Alligator mississippiensis: one gene and its partners. The protein of the gene in region 3 interacts with the protein of the main gene of each other region in a pairwise test. Links are inferred from orthologs where the notes say so. Each region holds a gene or a part of one and is shown on either strand. Other genes may lie near its edges.

The links.
Region 1: the proteins of KLHL42 (region 3) and SERTAD1 interact in binary tests that used the Homo sapiens proteins (3 or more experiments, as listed by UniProt). The two-hybrid records come from large-scale screens. The link is inferred for Alligator mississippiensis from reciprocal best matches to the Homo sapiens genes KLHL42 and SERTAD1.
Region 2: the proteins of KLHL42 (region 3) and STAM2 interact in binary tests that used the Homo sapiens proteins (3 or more experiments, as listed by UniProt). The two-hybrid records come from large-scale screens. The link is inferred for Alligator mississippiensis from reciprocal best matches to the Homo sapiens genes KLHL42 and STAM2.

The regions. Positions count from the first base shown.
Region 1 is NC_081838.1:2,495,801-2,502,867, reverse strand, and holds SERTAD1 (SERTA domain-containing protein 1), read left to right. Parts: upstream 1-4,307; 5' UTR 4,308-5,125; intron 5,126-5,517; 5' UTR 5,518-5,521; coding exon 5,522-6,409; 3' UTR 6,410-6,502; downstream 6,503-7,067. Other genes in the region: SPTBN4 (spectrin beta chain, non-erythrocytic 4), read right to left, coding at 1,186-1,224; BLVRB (flavin reductase (NADPH)), read left to right, coding at 1,684-1,765, 2,718-2,879, 2,960-3,049, 3,203-3,334, 3,407-3,570. UniProt on the Homo sapiens protein: Acts at E2F-responsive promoters as coregulator to integrate signals provided by PHD- and/or bromodomain-containing transcription factors. Stimulates E2F1/TFDP1 transcriptional activity.
Region 2 is NC_081827.1:226,524,860-226,532,361, forward strand, and holds the start of STAM2 (signal transducing adapter molecule 2), read left to right. Parts: upstream 1-4,410; 5' UTR 4,411-4,508; coding exon 4,509-4,548; intron 4,549-7,502.
Region 3 is NC_081827.1:138,674,193-138,681,839, forward strand, and holds the start of KLHL42 (kelch-like protein 42), read left to right. Parts: upstream 1-4,642; 5' UTR 4,643-4,763; coding exon 4,764-5,611; intron 5,612-7,647. UniProt on the Homo sapiens protein: Substrate-specific adapter of a BCR (BTB-CUL3-RBX1) E3 ubiquitin-protein ligase complex required for mitotic progression and cytokinesis. The BCR(KLHL42) E3 ubiquitin ligase complex mediates the ubiquitination and subsequent degradation of KATNA1.

The DNA of each region.
Region 1 (7,067 bases), on a different chromosome or scaffold from region 3:
GCATACATGCATGCCCATGCACACACACGTGCACCTGCATACCCCCCAGAGGTAACTGGGGCATCCCAGGGGCCTCCCACCCCCTCCAGCCCCCGCAAGGCTCCAGGGACCCCCAGACAGACCCGGACCCCGGCACAGCAGGAAAAAGGCAGGTGTCCGGGGTGGGGTATTAACCCTTGGTGCCCTGCAAAAAGAGCATCCATGAGCCTCCACCCTGGCTCACTCGCGTGCACGTCTGTGCCCACATGTACACGCGCTGGGCAGCACGGTGGAGACCAGGCCGCGGCTGCAGCCAGATGGATGGAGCTCCAGCCTCCCTCCTGGGGCTGGGGCTTGCTCCGGCCCCGGCAGCTGGGAGGGGGTGCCCGGGAGCCCAGGGTGCAGCTCCAGCCCCTGCCCGCAGGACAAGCCCCGGCATCCCCGGTCTGTCCCTCCAGCCAAGGCTGGCTCCCTGCCCATCACCTTCAGCTGACACAGCCCCCCCCCCCCATCACAGCTCGGAGGCCTGGGCCTACACCCGGCGCAGCATGGAGCCCCCCCAGCCACCACCTGGCTCCAGCTCCGGGGCCTCTGCTGCCCCCCCGGCCTGCAGGGAGCGGCAGGGACGGGCAGCCCAGGCCCCGGCTCCAGCGCCCCAAGTGGGGGGTAGCAGGAGAGGGTGCTGCCCTCCGCGGGGGGCTCACACATGCATGCACACACGTGTGCAGGCCCACAGGCCCCCCTCTCCCCAGGCAGGGATGCATGGGTCTGCACACACACACACACACACACACACACACACACACACACACACGGGCAAGGATATGTGTGGGTGCATGCAAGGATACGCCTGCACAGGGGGGCACGCTGCCACGGGAGAGGGCACGTCGACACGCACACACACATGTGCACCTGCTCCCATGTGCAATGGCACGCATGCACACACGCGCCCCCATGCACACACACGCCTCCCCCCTGGCGCACATGCATGCATACAGATGCGCGCACACAATACAGTCATGCACACCCATGCACAAACACACCCAGACGCTCTCACACACGCGCATGCACACACACCCATGGCCACGGGCACACCCGTGCAGACACGTACCCATGCACAGCCATGCAGACAGACACGCGCGCGCACGCACACACACACACACACACGCACACACACGCACACGCAGCCCCCCCCCCGTGTCTCACCGGGGCCGCGGGCGCGGTCGCGGCTCCGGGCTGCAGCATCCAGGGATGCGCCGGCTCCGCCCGCCTGCCCGGCCCGGCCCCGCCGCTCGTCAGCGCCGCCGGCCGCGGCAGCCAATCCCCGGGCAGAGCCCCCTCGCCGCCCCCCCGGGTCCTGCGCCGGCCGCTCCCCGCGATCCGGGTCAGCCGGGGGGGCCGGGACCCGAACCGGGGTCCCCGGGGTGCCCGGCCCCGCCCCCTGCCCGGCCCCGCCCCCAGGGTGCTGCGGGGTGCAGGCTCTCTGCACACTCAGGCAGGCGGGGGCCGTCCCCAGGCCCAGGTGGGAGCCGCAAGGGCAGGGCTGGCACCCGGCCGCCCTCCCCTCCCCAGCACCGGCTGCATCAGCTGGCAGGGGCCGGCCCTGCGGGTGCCCGGCCCCTCTGGGTGGAGCTCGCAGCACCGAGCGCGCGGAAGGGCCCGCGGCGGGGACACCCGAGTGACAGAGGCACCCGCACCGCCGGCATGGCCACCTGCAAGAACATCGTCATCTTCGGGGCCACGGGCATGACGGGGCTGGCCACGCTGGCGCAAGCCCTGCAGGCCGGTAGGGCGGGCGGCGCGGGGGGTCCGAGCCAACCCCCGGGGCGCTGGGGGCAGAAGAGCCCCTGCCCCCTGGGCAGAAGCCCCGAGCACCCCCAGGGGGGCAGCTGACGGAGGGACACCCAGACGTAGCCCCAGGGGGTGCAGGGAGGGGGCATTGGATGGGCCCCCCGATGCCCCGGGCCCCGCCAGGGGTAGCTGCAGGAGCCCCCGAGCCCGCGCCAGGGGGGTGTGGACGGCGCATGGCGTGGGGAGATAAGCAAGGCCGTTACTGGTGGACGCCCTGCCCTGGGCACGTCCAGCAGAGATAGTTCTGCTGTTGCCCCCCGGACGCCTGGGTCCCCTCCCCGCTGTGCCACCGTGACCCGCCAGCAGCGGTGCTTGGGGATCGGGTGTTGGTGCCACCCAGACCCCAACCGGGATCAGGGCCCCAGCACCACCAGGTTGGGGCGCCTGGGGGCTGGTTGGCACCGGGTGGCCAAAAGGTGGGTCAGTGCAATCGTCTGGAGCAGGGCACTGGCTCGGGGTGCCAGGTGCTGTACAAACCCCATTGGCATTGGCCAAGAGGGGCCAGCCCAGGGCCACTGAGGTCCCCACGCGCCAGGGTGGCTTCTGCTGAGTCACGGTCCCAGCTGGGAGGGTGCTGAGTCATGGTCACGTGTCCCCAGCTGCTCGCCTGCCACATGCCCGAGCCGGGGGCGTGAGCCCATAGCTGGAGCACGGGCCAATCCAGGGCCTAACCTCAGCGCCACGCTGGGCCCAGCGGGCGCCAACAGGCAGCTGGGCACCCAGCCACCCCGGCCCTTGCTGCCTGGGCCGGGTGCCAGCCAAGACCCGGAGCTGGCATGGGCGGCACAAAAGCGAGACAGGCGCTGAGCCACGGGAGCGGGAGCCCCCCCCAGAGCCGGGGGAGAACCCAGGTGTCCGGGCCACGCTCACCCGCTCTCCCCCCTCAGGCTACCAGGTGACGGTGCTGGTGCGGGACCCAGCGCGGCTGCCCCCGGACCTGCACCCAGCACACGTGGTGGTGGGCGACGTGCTGGACCCCAGCGCCGTGGACCGGGCTGTGCAGGGGCAGGACGCCGTCATCATCATCCTGGGCACCCGCAATGACCTCAGTACGTCCCCTGCCCCCTGCCCCCTGCCCCCTGCCCCCTTGACCCGTCTCCTGCCCCCTGACCCGCCTCCTGCCCCCCAGGCCCCACCACCATGATGTCCGAGGGCACCAAGAACATCGTGACTGCCATGAAGGCCCACGGGATCCGCAAGGTGGTCGCGTGCCTGTCGGGTGAGCTCTGGGCTGCCAGGGGTTAATGCCAGGGGGTGGGGTGGGGTGGGATCAAGGGGTGCAGCAGGGCTGGGGGCCCAGACTCCTGGCTCCCATCAGGGGCTCGGAGCCGGGTGCCCGCAGCTCACAGCTCGGGTGGCCCCTTGTCCGCAGCCTTCCTGATGTGGGACCCGGCCAAGGTGCCGGCCAGGCTGCAGCCCGTGACCGACGACCACATCCGCATGCACCGCATCCTGCAGGACTCGGGCCTGGACTGCGTCTCCGTCATGCCGCCCCACATCGCCGGTGTGTGCCGGGGCTGGGGGGGAGGGGGGCAGCGATGGGGACCCCCCTGCTGACCCTCCCTTGCCCCCGCAGGTGACCAGCCGCTGACCGGGGACTACACGGTGACCGTGAACGCAGCGAGCGGCTCCCGCGTCATCTCCAAGCACGACTTGGGCCACTTCTTCCTGCAGTGCCTGAGCACGGCCCAGTACGACGGCAAGAACGTCTACCTCTCCCGCCACTACCCCAAGGAGTGAGCCCGGCCCCCGGCTGCCCACCCTGCTTGCTCCGGCGCCTGACGCTCCCGGGATGATTAAACCGCAGTGATTTTTCCCAGCCGCTCTCCACCTGCCTGGCCTGACGCCCCCCCTCCCGGCCTGGCCCAGACACCTGGGTTCCCTGCGGGAGCTGCCCACGTGCAGCAGGGAGCCTGGGGGGGTTGAAGAAGGGAGCCGGGTGATGCACCTGCCATCTGGGGGAACTGAGGCACTGCCCCCACTCCGCCACTGGGCTGGGGAGAACCCGGGCATCCAGGTCCGAGTCCGACCCCGCAGCCTGCCAGGCGTCCCGGTTCCCATTCCCACCCCACAAGGGCTGCTGAGCCCCACCAGGGGAGGAGGGGGCCTGGCAGGAGGCCAAAATGTCCCAGCATGCCCTGCGCTGAGCCCCCCCACTCTGCCCCCCCCCCCTCCACCTGGGACATGTTGGGATCTGCAGGCTGCTTTATCCCCATGGCAGCGCCAGCTCCAATCAGGGAGCAGGGCTGGGGGGGGCAGGAAAGAGGAGGCACCATGAAGGGGTGATGGGGGAGCTGCCCCATGGGAGGCACAGGCCATGGGGTGGTACCAGGCGGGGCAGGGGCAGCGTGGAGGGTCAGGGGTCATGGGGGATCGGGGTCCCGGGGGGCACCGTGCAGGGCAGGGACGTCATGGGGGGCACCATGTGATGCAGGGGCAACCATGGGGGGGCAGAGGTCATGGGGGATCGGGACTGGGAATGGCTGGGTGGAAGAGGGCAGCGGGGCCCATGGGGTGGAGGCGAGGGAGTCGGGGAGCTGCAGGGTCTGCGTCCGCCTCCGCGGTCACTACGAGGTCTGGGGGGCAGGGGCAAAGCCCGGGCTCCCTCTGGGCCCCCCGGGGGGTGCAGGCGTAGGTCAGGACCCGTGGCCGTGCCAGGCCCTGCTCCGCTTCAGGGGCCACGTGCCCAGGCCCAGGCCTCAACACCTGCCTGCGGCGGGGGGCCCTTCCCTGCACCCCCTGGGCCGCTGGGCGCCAGGCGGGCGTAGCAGGGCGTGCTGCGGTTTCGGTTCCTCGCCGCAGCCCTTCCTCTGCTACCCGCCTGGCACAGGGGTGCCCGGGGGTGCCAGGCTCGGGGGAGGCCGGAGCCCCAACCCCCGCCCCGCCTATTGGCGGCTGCTGTGAGCTGAGACCGGACACACTCATCTCCCCCCACGCGCCGCGGGGAGCCGCTGACGTCAGCCCCCCACTATGCAAATGAATCCCCCTCGCCTCCACCTATCAGGCAGAAGCAGGCGGGGCCTCGCGCTCCTTCCTCTCCCCTTTCCTTGACTCTCCCCCGTCCGCCCACGGAATGCAAATAAGCCCCCCAGCCCCACGCTCCGATTGGCTGGCCCGCGCCCCGCCCTTTTCCTGGCCTGGCCCCGCCCATTGGCTGGGGCCGGGCGTGCCGCGGCAGCGAGGATCGGCGCCGGGTCGGTGGAGGGGGGCGGGGGAAGAGAGGAGGGGGGGATGCCGGCTCCTGATTGGCTGCGCGCCGCGTTCCAGGCCCCGCGGATTGGCCCCTGAGGAGCGGGTATGTAAATGAGGGTCCCGGGCTCGGGGCTGCGCTGCGGGGAGGGGAGGGGGGCGGCCGGGACGGGGGGGGGCCGGGACCGGGGCGCGGGGGCGGGGCGGAGCAGAGCGGAGCGGAGGGAGCGCGGGCGGTGACTCACGGGGGGGCGGGGCCGGCCTGACTCACCGCCCCGCCCCCGCCTCGCCGGCGCCGGGCAGGACCGGGGTGGGGAAACTGAGGCACAGGGGTGGGGGGGAGCCCTCTGCTCCGGGCCTCAGTGATGGCACCTGCAGCCTGGGTCCATGGGAGCCGCGAGACCGGGGCGGGGAGGCAGGAAAAAACCCGGGTGTCCGGCCCCGCCCCCTGTGCCCGAGCCCCCGCGGCGCGGTGCTGAGTCTCCCCTTCCCTCGCAGCGCCATGCTGAACAAGGGCGTCAAGCGCAAGCGCGGCACCGCAGAGAGCGCAGGGCCGGATGCCCCCGCGTCCCCCGCCGCCCCGGCCACCTCCCTCTTCAGCCTGTCCGTGGTCAAGCTGCACCGGAGCCTGCGGCACGTGGAGCCCGACCTGCGGCCCCTGGTGCTCGTGACCAACGCCCTGCGGCGCCTCCAGGACCAGATGCAGACGGAGGCTGCGGCGCCCGAGCCCCCTGGCACTGTCCTACGTTGCCCCGCCGCCCCGCCGGATGGCTCCGGCGCCCTCCCAGACTGCCCCACATGCCCACTGGATGGCTCCGGCGCCCCCTTGGACAGCTCCGGCGCCCTCCCAGACTGCCCCACGGGCCCTCTGGACAGCTCCGGCGCCCCCTTGGACAGCTCCGGCACCCTCCCAGACTGCCCCATGGGCCCACTGGAGGGCTCTGGCGCCCCCTTGGACAGCTCCGGCGCCCTCCCAGACTGGCCCACGGGCCCACTGGACGGCTCCAGCGCCCCCTTGGACAGCTCTGGCATCCTTCTCGGCACAGGGCCTGCCATGCTGCTCCCCAGCCTGGACGTCTCGCTCGGCTCGTCCGTCTCGGGGCTCCTGGGGGACTTGGAGCCGGCGGGCAGCCTGGTCCCGGCGCTGTGGGGCGCAGAGTGCGGGGCACGGGCACTGCTGGCCCCTCTGCCGGACGAGGGGCTGGAGGGCGTCTTCGAGGACATCGACACCTCCATGTATGACGGCGAGCTGTGGGCACCTGCCGGCCTCAAGGCCTTGGCGCCGGCGCCGGGCGAGGACGAGGCGGCGCCGGGCCCTGAGGACGGGGGCCTGGACATCAATGACCTGGACTTGCTCATGGATGTGCTGGTGGGCCCACGGGGGCTCTGAGCCCGCTCCCAGGCCTGGCAGGCCGGGGGGGTCTTGGGCAGTTTGCCCCCCCCAGGCTGCAGAGCCGCAGGCAATGAAATGGTTAATGTCTGAGTCAGCTCCTGCCTCTTGTACCTGGTGCTGGGGCAAAGTTGGGGGGCTGGGAGCCCAGATGCCTGGGTGTTGCCCCAGGTCTTGGGTGGGGGGAGACCACAGGGAAACTGAGGCAGGAAGCGAGTCAGGGGCACATGCCCCCTTGTGGCCGAGTTTTCATAGATTCATAGATGATTCATAGACGTTAGGGTTGGAAGGGACCTCAATAGATCATCGAGTCCGACCCCCTGCATAAGCAGGAAAGAGTGCTGGGTCTAGATGACCCCAGCTAGATACTCGTCTAACCTCCTCTTGAAGACCCCCAGGGTAGGGGAGAGCACCACCTCCCTTGGGAGCCCGTTCCAGACCTTGGCCACTCGAACCGTGAAGAAGTTCTTCCTAATGTCCAGTCTAAATCTGCTCTCTGCTAGCTTGTGGCCATTGTTTCTTGTAACCCCCGGGGGCGCCTTGGTGAATAAATCCTCACCAATTCCCTTCTGTGCCCCGGTGATGAACTTATAGGCAGCCGCAAGGTCGCCTCTCAACCTTCTCTTCCGGAGGCTGAAAAGGTCCAGGTTCTCTAGTC
Region 2 (7,502 bases), about 88 Mb from region 3:
GGTGGGACTGTACACCTCCTGGGTTAAGCGGAGGTCCTGTATCTTGGCCAGGAACCTCCTGGAACGGTCCGACCTGGCTGACTGCTCCTCCCAGCAGATGTCCGGGTAATTTAGATCACCCATGACAACTACATCCCTTGCCTTAAGTGCCTCTGCAAGCTGGCCCAAAAATTCCCGGTCCAGCTCCACCCCTTGGTTGGGGGGTCTGTAGTAGACCCCCACCGTTAAATCCCTCTCCCCAAGACACCCTTGTATATTGATGATTATGATTAAATTATGTAACACTGTACACCTTCGGCAGTGTATTTCTTGATGATTATGATTAAATTCTGTAACACTGTACACCTTCGGCAGTGTATTTCTTTTTAAATTATGTTTAAAAAACATAGAGGGAAGCTCTGGGCCTCCTGCAGCTCAGGGGCTGCACAACCCGATGGCAGCTTGCGCGGGTAGGCTCTGCTAAGACAAAAGAAAAAAGCAGCAGTAATGAGCCTGATCTTTTTTTTTTTGCTCCCAGAGACTGCCTGCAGTCTTCTGTGGCCAGGGAGTGAGCTGCTGGTGGGCTGTGCAGCCCGAGTTGTGGGGGGACCCTGGTGCTTCTTTCCGTGGTGGCAGCACCCCCCGGGACAACCCAAGTGGGGTGCTAGTACATGGGTGCTGCCTGGGGGGCCCTGCCACCACAGAGGGAAGCACCAGGGCCCACTGCAGCTCAAGGCTCACTGGCCATAGTAGAGGCAAGAAGGCTCCAGAAAAGAAAAAAAAAAGATTGGGCTCCTCACTGCTTTTTTTTTTTTCCTCTAGCGGAGCCTGCCCTCTCTGTGGCAAGGGTGTGTGTGTGTTATGGAGCTGACGGGGCTGTCACTGCTGTCATGGTGACGGAAGTCCCTAAATTGAAACAGTGGGTTTTAATCAACACAAAACCCCACCAATTCAAAACCGGCCATTTCAATTTAGGAAGAACTAAACTCCCAGCACGTGAACAAATGGCCACAGAGATTAAGTGGAAGGAAGGGGTGGGGGTGAACCAACCATGGAACAAGGAAATCAAGAGGAAGGGACCTCAACTAGGATGCACTAGCAGACACACAAAAGGTAAGAGAGAAAAAGATGGCAGGAGGAAGGTGAAGGAAGGGAAAATGGGCAGGTATCCCTGGATCCCCTTCCCAGTCTAGTAATGATGTAGGGGCTCTGTTCTACACAGCAGGTACAATCATCTTTCCATTGCATCCATTAATCTCTCAAAAACCTTTTCATGATATTTTCTTCTAACTCTAAGAAATATATACAATTGTATCTTGTTCATTGCACAGTTCATAGATGGAAAACAAGGAAATAAATGTGTTTATTAGATCTTTAATAAGGAAGTGACCTACTGTGAAGAGAGAGATTGAATTATACAAGGTGCTACATGTATTGTATTAAATCAGTAACCAAAGTGTTAATTGTTTAAATATATTCAACTTTTATTTTGCCTTCCAATCATGGATCACCAATTCTTATACATTAATAAGGCACATAAGCTAGACTACAGTCCACCTGAGATGCTATATTCTTATTTGTTAGAAGAGCTTCATTACAGAAAAAAATATTCACAAACTTATCTTGTTATGACTTGTATAAAGTATGTTTAATTAGAAAAGCTCTCAGAATTGCTGGCTCTCAGTGCTATATTGACTCTCTTACTTCCTGTGACCCCTTGTTTGTGAAAGCTAATTATTTTTTTAAAGAAACACCAGTTTGCACACTGTCATTGTCTGGTACACAAAAGTCTTTTTTCACTAATGAGGGTTAAGTGGCTTAATAAATTTCTTACAGTCAACAGAAAAACTTGTAAAAAAAAATCCTCCTGTCCAGAGAGATTTAGAGAAAATTCTTTTAATAAGTCTGCAATATGGATTCAATTACTATTGTACAGAAAACTCACTACAAACTACAGTGCTAGATACAAGAAAAAATCATAACTAATAGAAATATGTATTTCATTCAACATTGAAGCTTTCCAAGTATACCATTTTAATGTGTTAAAGATACTGTTACAGGGTGGTGTCTTTTGGGTGTTTTAACTGAATAACATAAGTCATGAAATATAACATCATTGTAATAAATCAAGTTATATAAAGGCATCATATTATGCATAAAATACTGATTGCAAAATCATCCCACTGTTTCATGTGTCATTTGCTCTTCATAAAAGAGCATAAACCATTCCTATGAAGTTGTTAAAATGTGGGTCAGTTCAGTTCAAGCCTTAAAAAGCTGTCATAAATCCCACACCTGTCTGACTTTTTCCATCATTGTTACAAAGGACACCTGTTACAAGAACTGAGAGAAGAAAACTAAATGTTTATCTGGTGTGTTTATGGCCCTATCTAGTTATACTCAAGGTGTAATTAACCAAGTAATCAAGCAAGTTGTGAGCTGGCTACATGTTCCACCAATTAATGGCATGATAAAACAGGCAATAAGCTACAAAGTTATTCCACAAAAAATATGGAGTAATATAGATTGTTCTTATGGTGCCATTGTTTAAGGAGAGGGGCAGGTGTTCACAGCACTTCTTATGGAGCAACTGTCACTGTTTATCCTATTTAATCACCTGTTCTGTTTGCCGGCATCTACTGTAGACATGGCAGAAAGAAAATATCCTAAAACGTAGTGGAATGAAAATTGGCAGAGGAACTGAGGGGGAGCGGGAGTAGTTCCTAAAATCTATCAGGTCATCTTTAAGCATAATTAGATGTAGCTTCAAGTGCCTGGTGTCCCTCTGGTGTTATGAAAATACCTTAGGACAATTATGAAATCCATCTAAAATGAAGCACACTGAAACGATCCCTCATACTGCTGGTTATGGGACAAGCTGAAAACACTTGAAGAAGCCGATCTTGATCTCACAGTCTAGTACAAAGATGCGGGGAACAGAAATGGTCACACGTAGATACTCTCCTGGGGTTGGGGCAGTGTTTCCAGGCTGTCCAGGGCCCTGCTTGGCACCAGGCTTCTGAGCTTAAGTCCCCCACACAAAGGGCTGAGCTGCTTCCCGCGCAGGCAGGGGTCTGGGGAGGGAGATGAGCACGTCGGTGCCCACTGCCCAGATGCCACCGCTGTTCTGGCAATCAGGACTTGTGGTAGAGATGCTCTCTTTTATTAGACCAACAAGATTTTTGCAAAATCTTGTTGGTCTAATAAAATGCCCGCTGTTCTGGGCATTTGAGGGAGCCCGTGAGTGCCTGGCGCCTCCTGAATCTGGGGGTGCACCCGCAGATTTTGCAAAAATCTTGTTGGTTTAAGAAGAGAGATCATCTCTACTATAAGTCCTGAGTGCCTTTTCTTCTAGACCAATACGGCTACAACCTGGATACCCGGCACACAAAAGATATCAAATTTTAGCTGATTTCTGAAATGAAATCTTCGTACTTTCCCAAGTAGGAAGCAACTGTGACCGCCTGAAACTGCAGATCCTGCTCTTGCCTTTGTTTCAAGGTAATCTGCATCAGCACAGACCCCGACAGGAGGTGAGGCTCCTTACCAGCTATGAACCGACTGCCCAGACGAGTTTTGCATCTATCGACTCCTCTGTGAAATCCTATGAAATATGAATTTTCAATTCTACCCAGGGGAACTTTATTTTTTCTCCACTGCCTGATGAAGGGTGTCTGGGCCCAAAAGCTGGCCATTAACGAATTTATTTTATTTTTTTTCAAAAATCTTGTTGGTTTCATTAATCAAAGATATCACCTCTGTCCACGAGCCCCGATCGCCTTTTCCTCTACACCAACATGGCTACAACCTGGATGCCCGACCGCTGTTCTGGGCACTTGAGGGAGCCCGTGAGTGCCTGGCGCCTCCTGAATCTGGGGGTGCACCCGCAGAAACCGCCGACGGCAACGGCCCGGGGGGGAGGGGGGGGCACGTGCACCCCCTACCAGTCGCCTATGGAGAAGCCTCTCCCGCCACTCAGACGAGCCCCCATCGCGACCGGCCCGCGGCTGGCTCCACCCCGCCCCGCCCCGCCCCGCCCACCAAACACGTCAGAGGCCGCAGAGACGCAGCGAGGCCCCGTGGGGCTTGGCTGCCCCCTGCGGGCCGCGCTGAGAACATCCCGCTGTCTACGGCCCCTGGCCAGACCCCGCCGCCTACAGCCTTGCCTTCGCTCCAGCCCCGCCCCCGAGTGCGCGGGGTGGGCGTGGTCGCGTGCAAGCGGCGCTGGTCTCTCCTCCTCCGCTCTGAGGCCCCCGGGGTCTAAGCCGGTGCCTGACTCTATTGCCCCGCTCCGAGAAGCCGCCCGGCAGGTGCAGGGCCCCGGGTGGGGGCTCCTCCGGCCGCAGGGGGAAGGTGGTTCTTTTCCGCGGGTCCCCGTGTTTTGGGTCAGGCGCGGCGCGGACGCGAGCGGCGGGGCCTGCGCGGCGGCGGCCGGAGCCGGAAGCGGAAGCGGGCGCGGGGAGGGGCCCGGCCGCGGGGAGCGAGCCGCAGCCGCCTCGGGCTCCGCCATCGTCGTCGCTGTCGTCGTCATGCCGCTGTTCACCCCCAACCCCTTCGAGCAGGATGTGGGTGAGTGCGCGGGGCCGGGGCCTGTCTCCGTGGGCCGGGCCTGAGGGGGGCTGCCAGGGCGGGGAGTGGAGGAGCGGCTCCCTCCTGCCCTGTCACGGCAGCGGCTCCCAGGCCGGGGCGCTCCTTCCCTGCGGCCGCCCTCCTCCAGGCGGGGGCTTGTCGGGATGCCGCGGGAGGCGAGCGCTGCCTCGGATAAACACGGCTCTGAAGTCGGGGCCACGCACGTCCCTGAAGTGGCGGAGGGCGGCGGGTGCTTGGAGGCCAGGGAGGGTTGAGACCCGCTGCTGCCTCCTCTCCCCGTTCCCTCTTGCGCAATACCGGGCGGACTGTAGGTCATCTGTCCTGTCTTGCGGGCGTTTATCCTCTCATCTGTTTTTGTAGTTCAGGTTCCTGCTGTTTGGGAAGACACACAGGTTTTTAATGAGAGGTGTTGCTATCGTCGGGTGTTCTAATGATTGTAACATCTGTTTCCATAGAGCTGCACAGCAGTTAAACGCCGACCTGCAACCGTGTCTGCTGCAAGCAGGTTTTCACACCAATTGCCTTGTTTCTCTCTGTAGCATGTAGTGGGCTGAATTGCCTAAATTGGGGGTGTCAGATAGAGGGGCACTGATATATCGGTCCATATCAGATCGGCATTGATAAAAGGAAAATTGATATTATCAGCAACCGCCTTTTTAGTCGGTGTAGTTGGTGGCATCGCCGATAAATGCCACGTGAGCAGCCAGGAATGCAGCCTGGCAGCTTGGAGACCAGCGCCCAGTGGGTAAGTGTAGGGGGATAGGGTGAGGGGGCAAAACAAGCAGCATCTGGGGGGAAGGGGTGTGGGGGAGAGAACGGGGGTGGGGGGGGAAAGCGAGGCCCCCATGATGAGGGAGGGAGTGGGCAGGCGCAGGGCGTGGGACAGAGCCAAGGGGGGCATGGGGTGGGGGGGGGCAGTTCCCAGCCACTTTGCTCACCCACGGGGGAGGCATGGGAGGGGCATGTACTCTCCGGATTTGTGTGTGGGGTGAGGGCGGGCTGCCTGCTGTGGGCTCGGGGCTGGGAGCTACTGGGAAGAGGCCAGTGCAGCCTCGGGCCCTGAGCACACAGTGGGCAGCCTGCCCTCGCCCCATGCACAGATCTGAAGGGCACGAGCTCCCCATGCCTCCCCCAGGGATGTGCACAGTGGTGGGGAGCTGCCCACCCCTTCTGTGGCCTCTCCCCACCCTCCCACCCCCCCAGATTTGCTGCCCACAGCTCTGTCCTATGCCCCACTCCACCCTAGCTGGTCAGTGCCTGCCCCTGCCCCAGCCCAATTCTTTCCCACATCATGGGGGCCTTGATCTCCCTCCCCCATGCTCTCTTCCTCCCACAGACTTACTGGCTGGACACTGGTCTCCAAGCTGCTGGGGTACGTATTGGCATTCAGAGCAGTATCGGCCAACGTGGCTGGTTAAGAATTGGCTGTTGGTATTGGGCAAAAAAATCTTTATTGGTGCATCCCTAGTGTCAAATGTATAACCTGTGGGCTGGATCTGGCATGAGATCAGCTGTATCTGGGCAGGCCTGCAGGGAGATCCATGCTCTGAATCCAGCTCGGGCCCCAGGTAAGTTTGGCAGTCCTGGCTTAAATTTCTTGCAGAGTCAAAAGAGTCACTCCTAGCTGGTCACAGTTTTGAAGTCTGATCATTTTGATACTGTAAGAGGAAAGTTTTGGGAGTTTAGACCCACATGGACTATATTTAAACCCTGAATACTACAGAAGTTATTGGTATTCAGGTTGTAGCTGTATTGGTCTGGAGGAAAAGGCAGTCGGGACTGGTAGTAGAGGTGATATCTTTTATTAAACCAACAAGATTTTTGCGAAAGAAGTCTTTAATTGCAAGCTTTCAGGCACAAACACTCTTGATCAGGCATTGGAGAAAAGATTGTAAAAGTTCTCCTGGGTAGAAATGAAAGCTCATATTTCATAGGATTTCACAGAGGAGTCAATAGATGGAAAACTCTGGGCAGTCAGTTCACAGGAGTTATTGTACCTTAGAAGTGAAATGTCATTTATTATAGGAAACTAAGCTTTGAGGCTTTTTTCTTTTTAAATTACTACTGCGTATGTTTCTGTCTGAACATCATTTCACTGGCTTATGCATTAGTTCCTGAGCTTGGCGTAGTCTGTGTTTAAAACCTTTCTAGTTGATACGCTACCTTTTTTTAGATGACATGACTCGTAACAAGTGTTATGCTCTTATGCATCTTACTTGCTTAGTCAAACTTTTGGGAGTTGCTTATTTTATAGTCAGCAGATTAAGAAAAAGTTCCATGGCTAGAGTCTAAAATACTTGATATCTTAAGGACTTAAAGCTTTGGTAGCTTTTTTTGTTTGTTTTTTTTGTGGGGTTTTTTTTTTTTTAAACAAGACGTACAGCTAGCTAGCAATCTGATCTGAAAGATACAGGATTTGCTTGGTTTACAAATCTAAATGGATTTAAGTCAGTGTACTTTGTATTTCCTCTCTGGAGGCCTAGGGTGACATCTTGACCAAAATGAAGACAGTAGGACCAGGGTTTCACTCCTTGTAAAACATCAGCTGGAAATTAATTTTATGGCATCAGATTAATCCTTGGCTGACATCTGTCTATTACAAAAATTACCAGGCAGTCTTGACAATGAGGATGGTGTTGACTCTGGGCCTCTGTGTGCTATATTTGCCTGTATAGCCTACGGATCATGCCTTCACTATCCTGAATACTGACCTTGTAGTTTTAAATACCTGTTTTAAATTAATCAGCACTGTACATTTAATTGGAAAATGTTTAACATAAAAACAATTTTTAAGTTGGCAATTTTAACAGAAAGCAGAGTTAAGCATTCTTGGGATTTTTGTCAATCCTAAAATATTATGGGCTGTTCTAACAAAAACATTTGCTTGTGCTTTTACTTAAACTAGCACAGATGTGCAGTGCTTAGATGTTCTT
Region 3 (7,647 bases):
GATCTTGCACAAAATGACTTTGGGGAAGATCTACACATGGACCTGGGCACCTAAAGTGAGTCTGCTCAAAGCCAAAATTGCAGTATTTAAAGGCTCTGCTTAATTGCAAATTAACCCCGTAGCTGCTTGACTTTTCATCACTTAAAATTTTCTAGCTGTTTAGTGTTCTGCTTCTGCACACAGCCACAAGCATCTCAGTCTTAACAGGACTATGCAGCTCAGTGCCTGTTTCACATCTGAACTCCAAACTAACCATTCCCTGCCTATGTCCCATGAGTGGCCCGATGTGGTAGGCATGTCTGAAGTACATCTAATATCACAGGACTGGGAATTACACAGGTTGTAGCCATATCTGCCACTTCCATTCAACTATGTGGCAGAAGTAGTATAGGCATACCCCTAATCTCTCTTTGTCTCAATTTTCTCAAGTGTAAGCAGCACCATACCTAGACTCCTGGCAGCCCTGAGCGAATTTTTACTATCAGGCCCTCCTTTGCCAGAGATAATGATACTAATAATAATAACAATTACCATTTTCGGGCCTCCTTTTTGTCCGGGCCCCAGGCAGCCACTGAGTTTGCCCATGCCTATGTCCAGCCCTGAACGTAAGATAAGAATAATTATACTTTCTTTCTCCTATTCATTGTTATTTTGTTGGCATAGATTTCATACTTTTTTCAGAGTGACATTTGTCTCTTACTTTGTGCTGATCCAGCAACTAACACAGTGCAGCCCTATTCTCATTTGGGTGCTGAAGGTGTGGCTATAACCTATTGCATCCCTCTCTTGTGCTCTTTCCAAGAAGAAAGCCACAGAAGTAGACATCTTTCATTCAAGCTGCACAGACTTTCTAGAAGTCCCTGGTTGATTCCCTGCTGATTGAGCAGATGATAACTGGCACACGATCAGGAACTTTTCTGGGATTCAGGCTTATTAGATATTATTTGGCTTACTGTAGTGTATAGGAACTCTGATCATAGAAAGAGCTGTGATAATGCTGGCTCCTGTATGAACAGAACAAAAAGATGGTCCCTGCCACAGTGAGCTTATGATCAAAGTATAAGAAAGAAACTAGGATGCAAATAGTTTTGTGTTCAAGAAAAAATAGGATGCATTTGTCAGCATAATAAATATGATAACTGTACCTGCTGCCCCTTGAGATAATTGCCAAGCCTGACCCTGGATAAAGTGAGCAGAAGACTGACCACCCAGCTGTGTAAGTCCACGGACATGGAAATGTACTATTGTTCTGATAAAAATGGTTGCTCAGCAGAGAACACTGATGACCCTTCCTGCCATATGAAGGGTCCTGGTGAAATCTCTCTCTCAGGAGTTCAGAAACCTGAAAAAAATGATCTTGGGAGCAAGAGAATACTTCAACAGTAGTTGAACAGGGGTAAACAATATTTACATTATTATGAAATTGCAGCTAATTGAAACAATAGCTGGAATTCAATTGTTTATAGAATTCCAGCTAAGATCATCAGACCTCATACAAAGATGACTGGTTCTATACTTTTAAAGAGGACTTCAATAACAGGATGGCTTAGCATGGACACTGATGTGAAATAGAGATATGTTCTTTCTTTGCTACCATTTGGCATAGCCATAGACTGGATAGCAGAAGGTACAGGCAAAACAAATGCTAACATGCCCTGGGTAGATGGCAAATGTCTAGAAGACCTAGACCTTGCTGATGACATTGTGTCGCTGAGTGACACACTTAGAAAGCTACAGAGAGAGACAACCTGGCAAAAGTTGCAGACCAAGCAGAGGCTCAAAGTCAACTACATCAAAATCAAACAAATTCCTCCCCAAAACAAAAACAAAAAACCCTTCTTGAAACCCAGGAATCAAGTAGATATATATCAGAAAGCAGATGCATAACTAATAGCACCACATTATTCAATGGACACCTCAAGAAGAAAGTGACAGGAAAGACAGGAACAGCATTCTATAAATCACTAAACTTAACTTACGGAACTGGAAGCTATACAGAACCAGAACAAATCTGGGAATTTTCAGTTCAAATGTAATCTCTGTGCTAATGTGTGGCTGTGAGAGTTGGAGATCTACCCTAATATGAGACAGGAAAATAGATGGCTTTGAAGAGAGGTACTTACAAAAGATTCTCAACATTGAAAAGAAAGGTTTTATCATCAACAAAGTGATCCAACACACCATCAACCAGCAGTTCATTTTCACCAGAACCAGACTGATGGGTTTCATTTGGGTGCCAAAACACAGACTTACATAGGAAGCCATCCAAATGAAACAGCTGTTGTGAAGAAAAGAGATGTCTAAAAGAAAACTTAAAAAGAGTGTTTAGCAGTGAGGGCAGAACAGCACCATGGAACAAATGGAAGCAGCAGTAAATGACAACAGGAATAGAGACTAGTTTCTGCCCTGTATACCAACACTATTACAGGAATGTTGTAATATGCTGGTAGGCAACGGTTTCCATACACCAGAAGTTTAGCCTTTACCATGTGCTTAGCAAATGTGGTTAAGACAAGACTCCTCTGTCTACCCCACTAGGACCTGTCAAGAGTAAGTACTTGCCATATATAGTAAGTGTTTGCTTTGTATTTATCCTAGCAAATGTGAATTTGTTTCAATCAGTCCGGAGGTCGCACCAATTGTTAGGGCACTTTTGATGTAGCAATAACTTTCGCCAATCTTCCCGGTCTTTTGCAATTCTTGTACAAAAAGATTGTACAAGACTGAGTTTGTTACAGTTCTAGGCTAAATAGCTTGGTTCATTAGTTTAAGTTATTCATATAGATGCCTAGGATTTAGAAGAGTCAAGCTGAGTTCATAACCCTGCCACAGCTTTCCCATGTCACCTGGGAAAAATCACTTAATTGATCTGTTCCCAAGTTGTAAAAGACAGACACCTGCCTCTTTTTCTAGCCATATTCAAAAAAGGGACTGGACAAATTCTTGGAGGAAAGGGGCATCAGTAACTATTGAGAATGGGAGCTAGGGGCATGGCCTCTGAATCAGAACTTCCTAGATCTTAAATGCTGGAGGCTGCTAGTGAGAGAGGAACAGTGAGAAAAAACCCTGGTCATACCCAGTTCATTCTTCCTTTCAGCATCTGTTCTCTGCCACTGTATAGGTTATTGGGCATATATCAACTGGTTTTGGGGGGACAACTAAAGAGAAAACTGTGATGGGAGTGAGGTCATAGGTTCATAAATGGTGGGTCTACACAAGACATTTACTATGCTGTAGCCTAATTAGCTGTGCAGTAAACACCTCAGCATCTACACATGCCCGCCCAATTAGGCTGCAGTAAACTAATTTACTCAGTAGCAGGATAGTACTTGTAAATATTTACAGGTACTATCCTGTTGTGGAATAAAAAACTCTGCAGCAGTGAATGTGTAGATGCTGCCTCAGCTGGCTGGGGTGTGAGGATACTTCAGTGAGGAGGCTGTCTGCCAGCTAGACCTGTGCTGAGGCACCCTTGTGCTCCAGCCAGCCCCTCTGCAGCACGCTGACCCTCCCAGCTGGGGTCCCTGCTATCTGGGGCTGCTCCAACCTGGCTCAATGTGCTACAATCCTGGGCACGTGTGCAAATGGTGTGCCTGGAACAATAAACTCAGGTGCAATAAGTACCGGAGTTTATTGTACTGTGTTAATATGCATGTATAGATGCACCCAAAGAGTGCACCAAGGGGGAACACCGAGCAGAGCACACCGGACAGTGCCCACTGGCCCTTGAGCAAGTAGAAGCCAGTAGACACTGCTCAGCAATACTAGGCTGGGAGATGGGATCAGACCAGGGACAGGAAAGTGGCCCTGCAGTCCCCAGAGGTCCTTTTGGCCAGATCTTCTTCCCTGGTGAGATACATTGCGAGCTTGGCTAGGGCCAGGAGGAGGTCCCACAGGCCTACGTGTCACCCTTTAAAACACATAGGCCCAGCCTACCAAGTCTCTCATTGGCCTCCCTTAGGCGGGGAGGCTACAGGAAAAGGGGACAACAGATTTCTTGGGACAAATAATGAAAAAACAGGGAGGGGAGTGCGGCTCAGAAGTTCAAAACAACCGTGCTGAGTGGGGACACCAAGCAGAGCACACCAGACAGTGCCCACTGGCCTTCAAATGAGTCCAAGGAGCAAGTGGACACTGACTAGTGATACTCTGCTTGGAGATGGGAGCAAAGCAAGGTGAGGAAAGCAGCCCCAGAGTCCCTGGGGACCCTCCTGGCCAGAGCCTCCTTCATGGTCAGGTACACGGCCAGCTTGGCCAGGGCCAGGAGGAGGCTGACCGGAGGTCATGAGGGAGACAGGGTGAGATGAACCTAGGGGCTGAGCCAGTCGATGGGAAATCTTCTGTTCTTAGGCTGGCTTTGGACTCACAGGCAAACCACCTCTCTAGAAGAGGAGCTGTGCAGCTTGCACTTGCTGGACTTCACTAGATGTTTTGAACGTGCATGAGAGAGACAGAACGAGTGTGAGAACATGTGCAAGTGAGAGAGAAAGTGTATGTGTGTAAGAGAAATGTGTGATTGCAAGAACATATGAGCGTGAGACAGAAAATGTGCGTGGGAATTCGTGCGCGAGAGAGGCGGTGTGACTGTGAGGCGGGCGGGGTGCGCGCGGAGCCTAGTCCCAGAGCCCCGCCCGGGGCAGAGCGAGGGCGGGCCGCGCGGGGAAGCAGCATTGCCTTTTTCGGGCCTTTCCCGCCGCTCGGGGCGGAGGCCGCCTCCCCGCCCCGCCGCGCCCCGCCTGCAGTGTCGGGGCTCGGGCGCAGCAATGTCGGGCGCGGAGGCGACGGGGTGGCGGGAGGAGGCGGAGGCGGTCGGGGAGGAGACGGTGCGGATCCGGCTGGGCGAGCGGAGCTATGCGGTGTGCAAGAGGAAGCTGGTGGAGCAGAGCGACTACTTCCGCGCGCTGTACCGCTCGGGCATGCGGGAGGCGGCGCCGGGCCGGGCGGAGCAGCAGCTGTGCGGCGGGCTGAGCGCGCGGGGGCTGGAGCTGGTGCTGGACTTCATCAGCACGGCCTGCCTGGCGCGGCTGGAGCAGGAGCAGGAGCGGGAAGGAGAGGGCGGCGGGGGTGAGCCCGGCCCGGTGCTGCAGGAGCTGGTGGAGGCCGCCTGCTACCTGCAGGTGACCCCCCTGCTGCGCTTGCTGCGCTCCCAGGTGCGCCTCGGCAACTGCCTGCAGCTGCACGGCTTGGCCCAGCTCTATGGCCTGCGGGACCTGCAGGAGGCCTGCCTGGACTTCATGGCTGCCCACTACCACCCTGTGCTGTGGCAGGCCCGCCTGGTGCTGCCACCCGCCCTGCGCCAGCATCTGGCCCAGAGGCGTATGCGGGGCGCCGCCACCCTGGTGGCCGTGGGCGACTTGGCGGGGCGGCCCCGGCAAGAGGAAGGGCCGGGCTCCATGCTGCGGTACGATGAGGTGGCTCAGCAGTGGCTGCCCCTGGCCAACAATCTGCCTCCGGACCTGGTGAATGTGCGCGGTTATGGGGCGGCAACACTGGACAACTACCTGTTCATCGTTGGGGGCTACCGTGTCACCAGCCAGGATATCTCGGCCGCCCACTGTTACAATCCATGCTTGAATGAGTGGAGTCAGAGGGCGTCCATGAACCAGAAGAGGTAACCTCCCTCCCCATCCCGCCTCATCCCCTGCAAACATGTACAAGCGGTGCGTTAGCGGCGGTATTGCCAACTCTCATGACTTTGGGCATTGTTCTTCAAGTCTAGGCTTCGGGAATGTGAAAAATCTAGCACTTTCTTTTATATATATTTTAAAGAACTAGGCTTTTTGCATTCTTTAATTGTGGGTGAACTATCCAATGCTTGGTGAATTCTGCTTCACAGTGATAGGAAGCATAGACTTTAAGAACAACGCCAAAAATCACAAGAATTGGCAACGCTAGAGGTAAAAATGCCCTGGAGTCATGGACCCAGTAATAGAGGGACCAGTTTGCCATTACTTTGAGCCTAGTCATTCACATCTCACCTCCTTTTGTGCTGGGGTGAGTGGTGCTCCATGGGGTGCTGAACAATGAGGAATTTACCTGATAGTAGCAGTGCTCAACCTTTTGATCCATGGGCCAGATGAGAATATGGAGCCCATCCATGGTTCAAATGGGACCCTGCCCACCAGGAATGGGGCCTGAGCTGCCTCTACCCAGTCCCATACAAGAGGATTGAGTTCCAGGGGCCCCCACATGATGGAGTTGGGACCAGTGCTGCTCTGCATGCTTACTAGCATTCACAGCCACAGCACGCAGGTCTTCCCACAGATTCTTGGGGAGCCCTATAGGCCAGATGACACGGCATCGGGGGTAGAGCATCCCTGGCCGATAGAATCCAGTAGGCTGTGTGGGACCGAGCTTTTAAACATGATTTTTTTTCTTAAATAGAACTTTGAGGTAGAATAGTGAAGGCAACCCCGGTAACCCTCTGTTCCTGTACTCAGGTTTCCATCTGCACATGGAGAAATCCAGCTGGTGTCAATGAGAGACCATTTGGAGCACAGCAGGCTAGAATTTTGGACAGAACGGTTTTCCACTGGAAATTGCAGTTTCCTTAACTTTGAAATTGGTTTCCCCAACTAGCTTGGTTTTAATGATGGTTTTCCCTGGACAAGCTGGTGCAGTGTTTCCTCATCTTATTCTGATGACTAAAAATTTTGGGGACAAAATGCTTTGGTTTCAGTTTTCACTTTTATTCATTTGTTTTTTGGCTAACACATTTCATATGTTGTCATGTCTCATTATCACAATGAAATATTGGCGTTATCTCATTGAAACAAAGCATTTTGATGTTTCATAGCCAACATTTTCAGACTTTCCAGTCTGTAGAAAATTTCGATATTGCACTCTGATTTGGACCAAAAACTAAAGTGAAACGTGAGAATTTCCCATGGAACTGAAATATCATTTTCTAACCAGTTCTAGTCAAAGTTAAGTCTCGTCTAGTCCAATTATTATGCTCATTGTACATGTAATTGCAGGCTCCAGTCAGATATTGTGCTAGGTTCTGTACACGCATGCATTTCAGTTTCTGATCTAGGGAGTTTGCAGTCAGATTTCTCTGAGAAGGTTGTCTATCCTGAACTTGGTTCCTTCCAACCTTACCGCTTGTTCCTGTTAAGTTATAAAAATGTACTGAAGTAGGGCAGACCATAATTTCATTCTAGTTGTCACTAGAATTAGTCAATAGAATTCAGTATTTTTCAGTTAAGGGAAAGTTCTTTCTTTTTCTTTTAATTCACCTGGTTGAAATTAATATATTTAGTTAAAACATAAATTCCTCTCAATAAGACTATGATCATGTACCAAAGGGTGGAAGAACCAGTGCCTGACATCACTCTGGCAGATAAATCTCTCAGTGTCTTTGACAGCTTTTGTTACTTGGATTCTTCAATCATCAGGAATCTTGACTTTCAGACTAAAGAAACACAATCGGAAAAGCAGCTAAGAATTTCAGGCTATTACAGAAACATGCATAGAATAACAGCAGACTATCAGATAAGGTGAAGATGCAAATCTATTAAATTTGCCTGCTGTCATCCCTGCTTTATGGTTTGGAAACATGGACTACATATTCTAGGTACATCAGGAGCCTGAGCAATTGTGCAAGATCCTGAAAATCATGTGGGAAGACAAAATGGCAAACAGAGG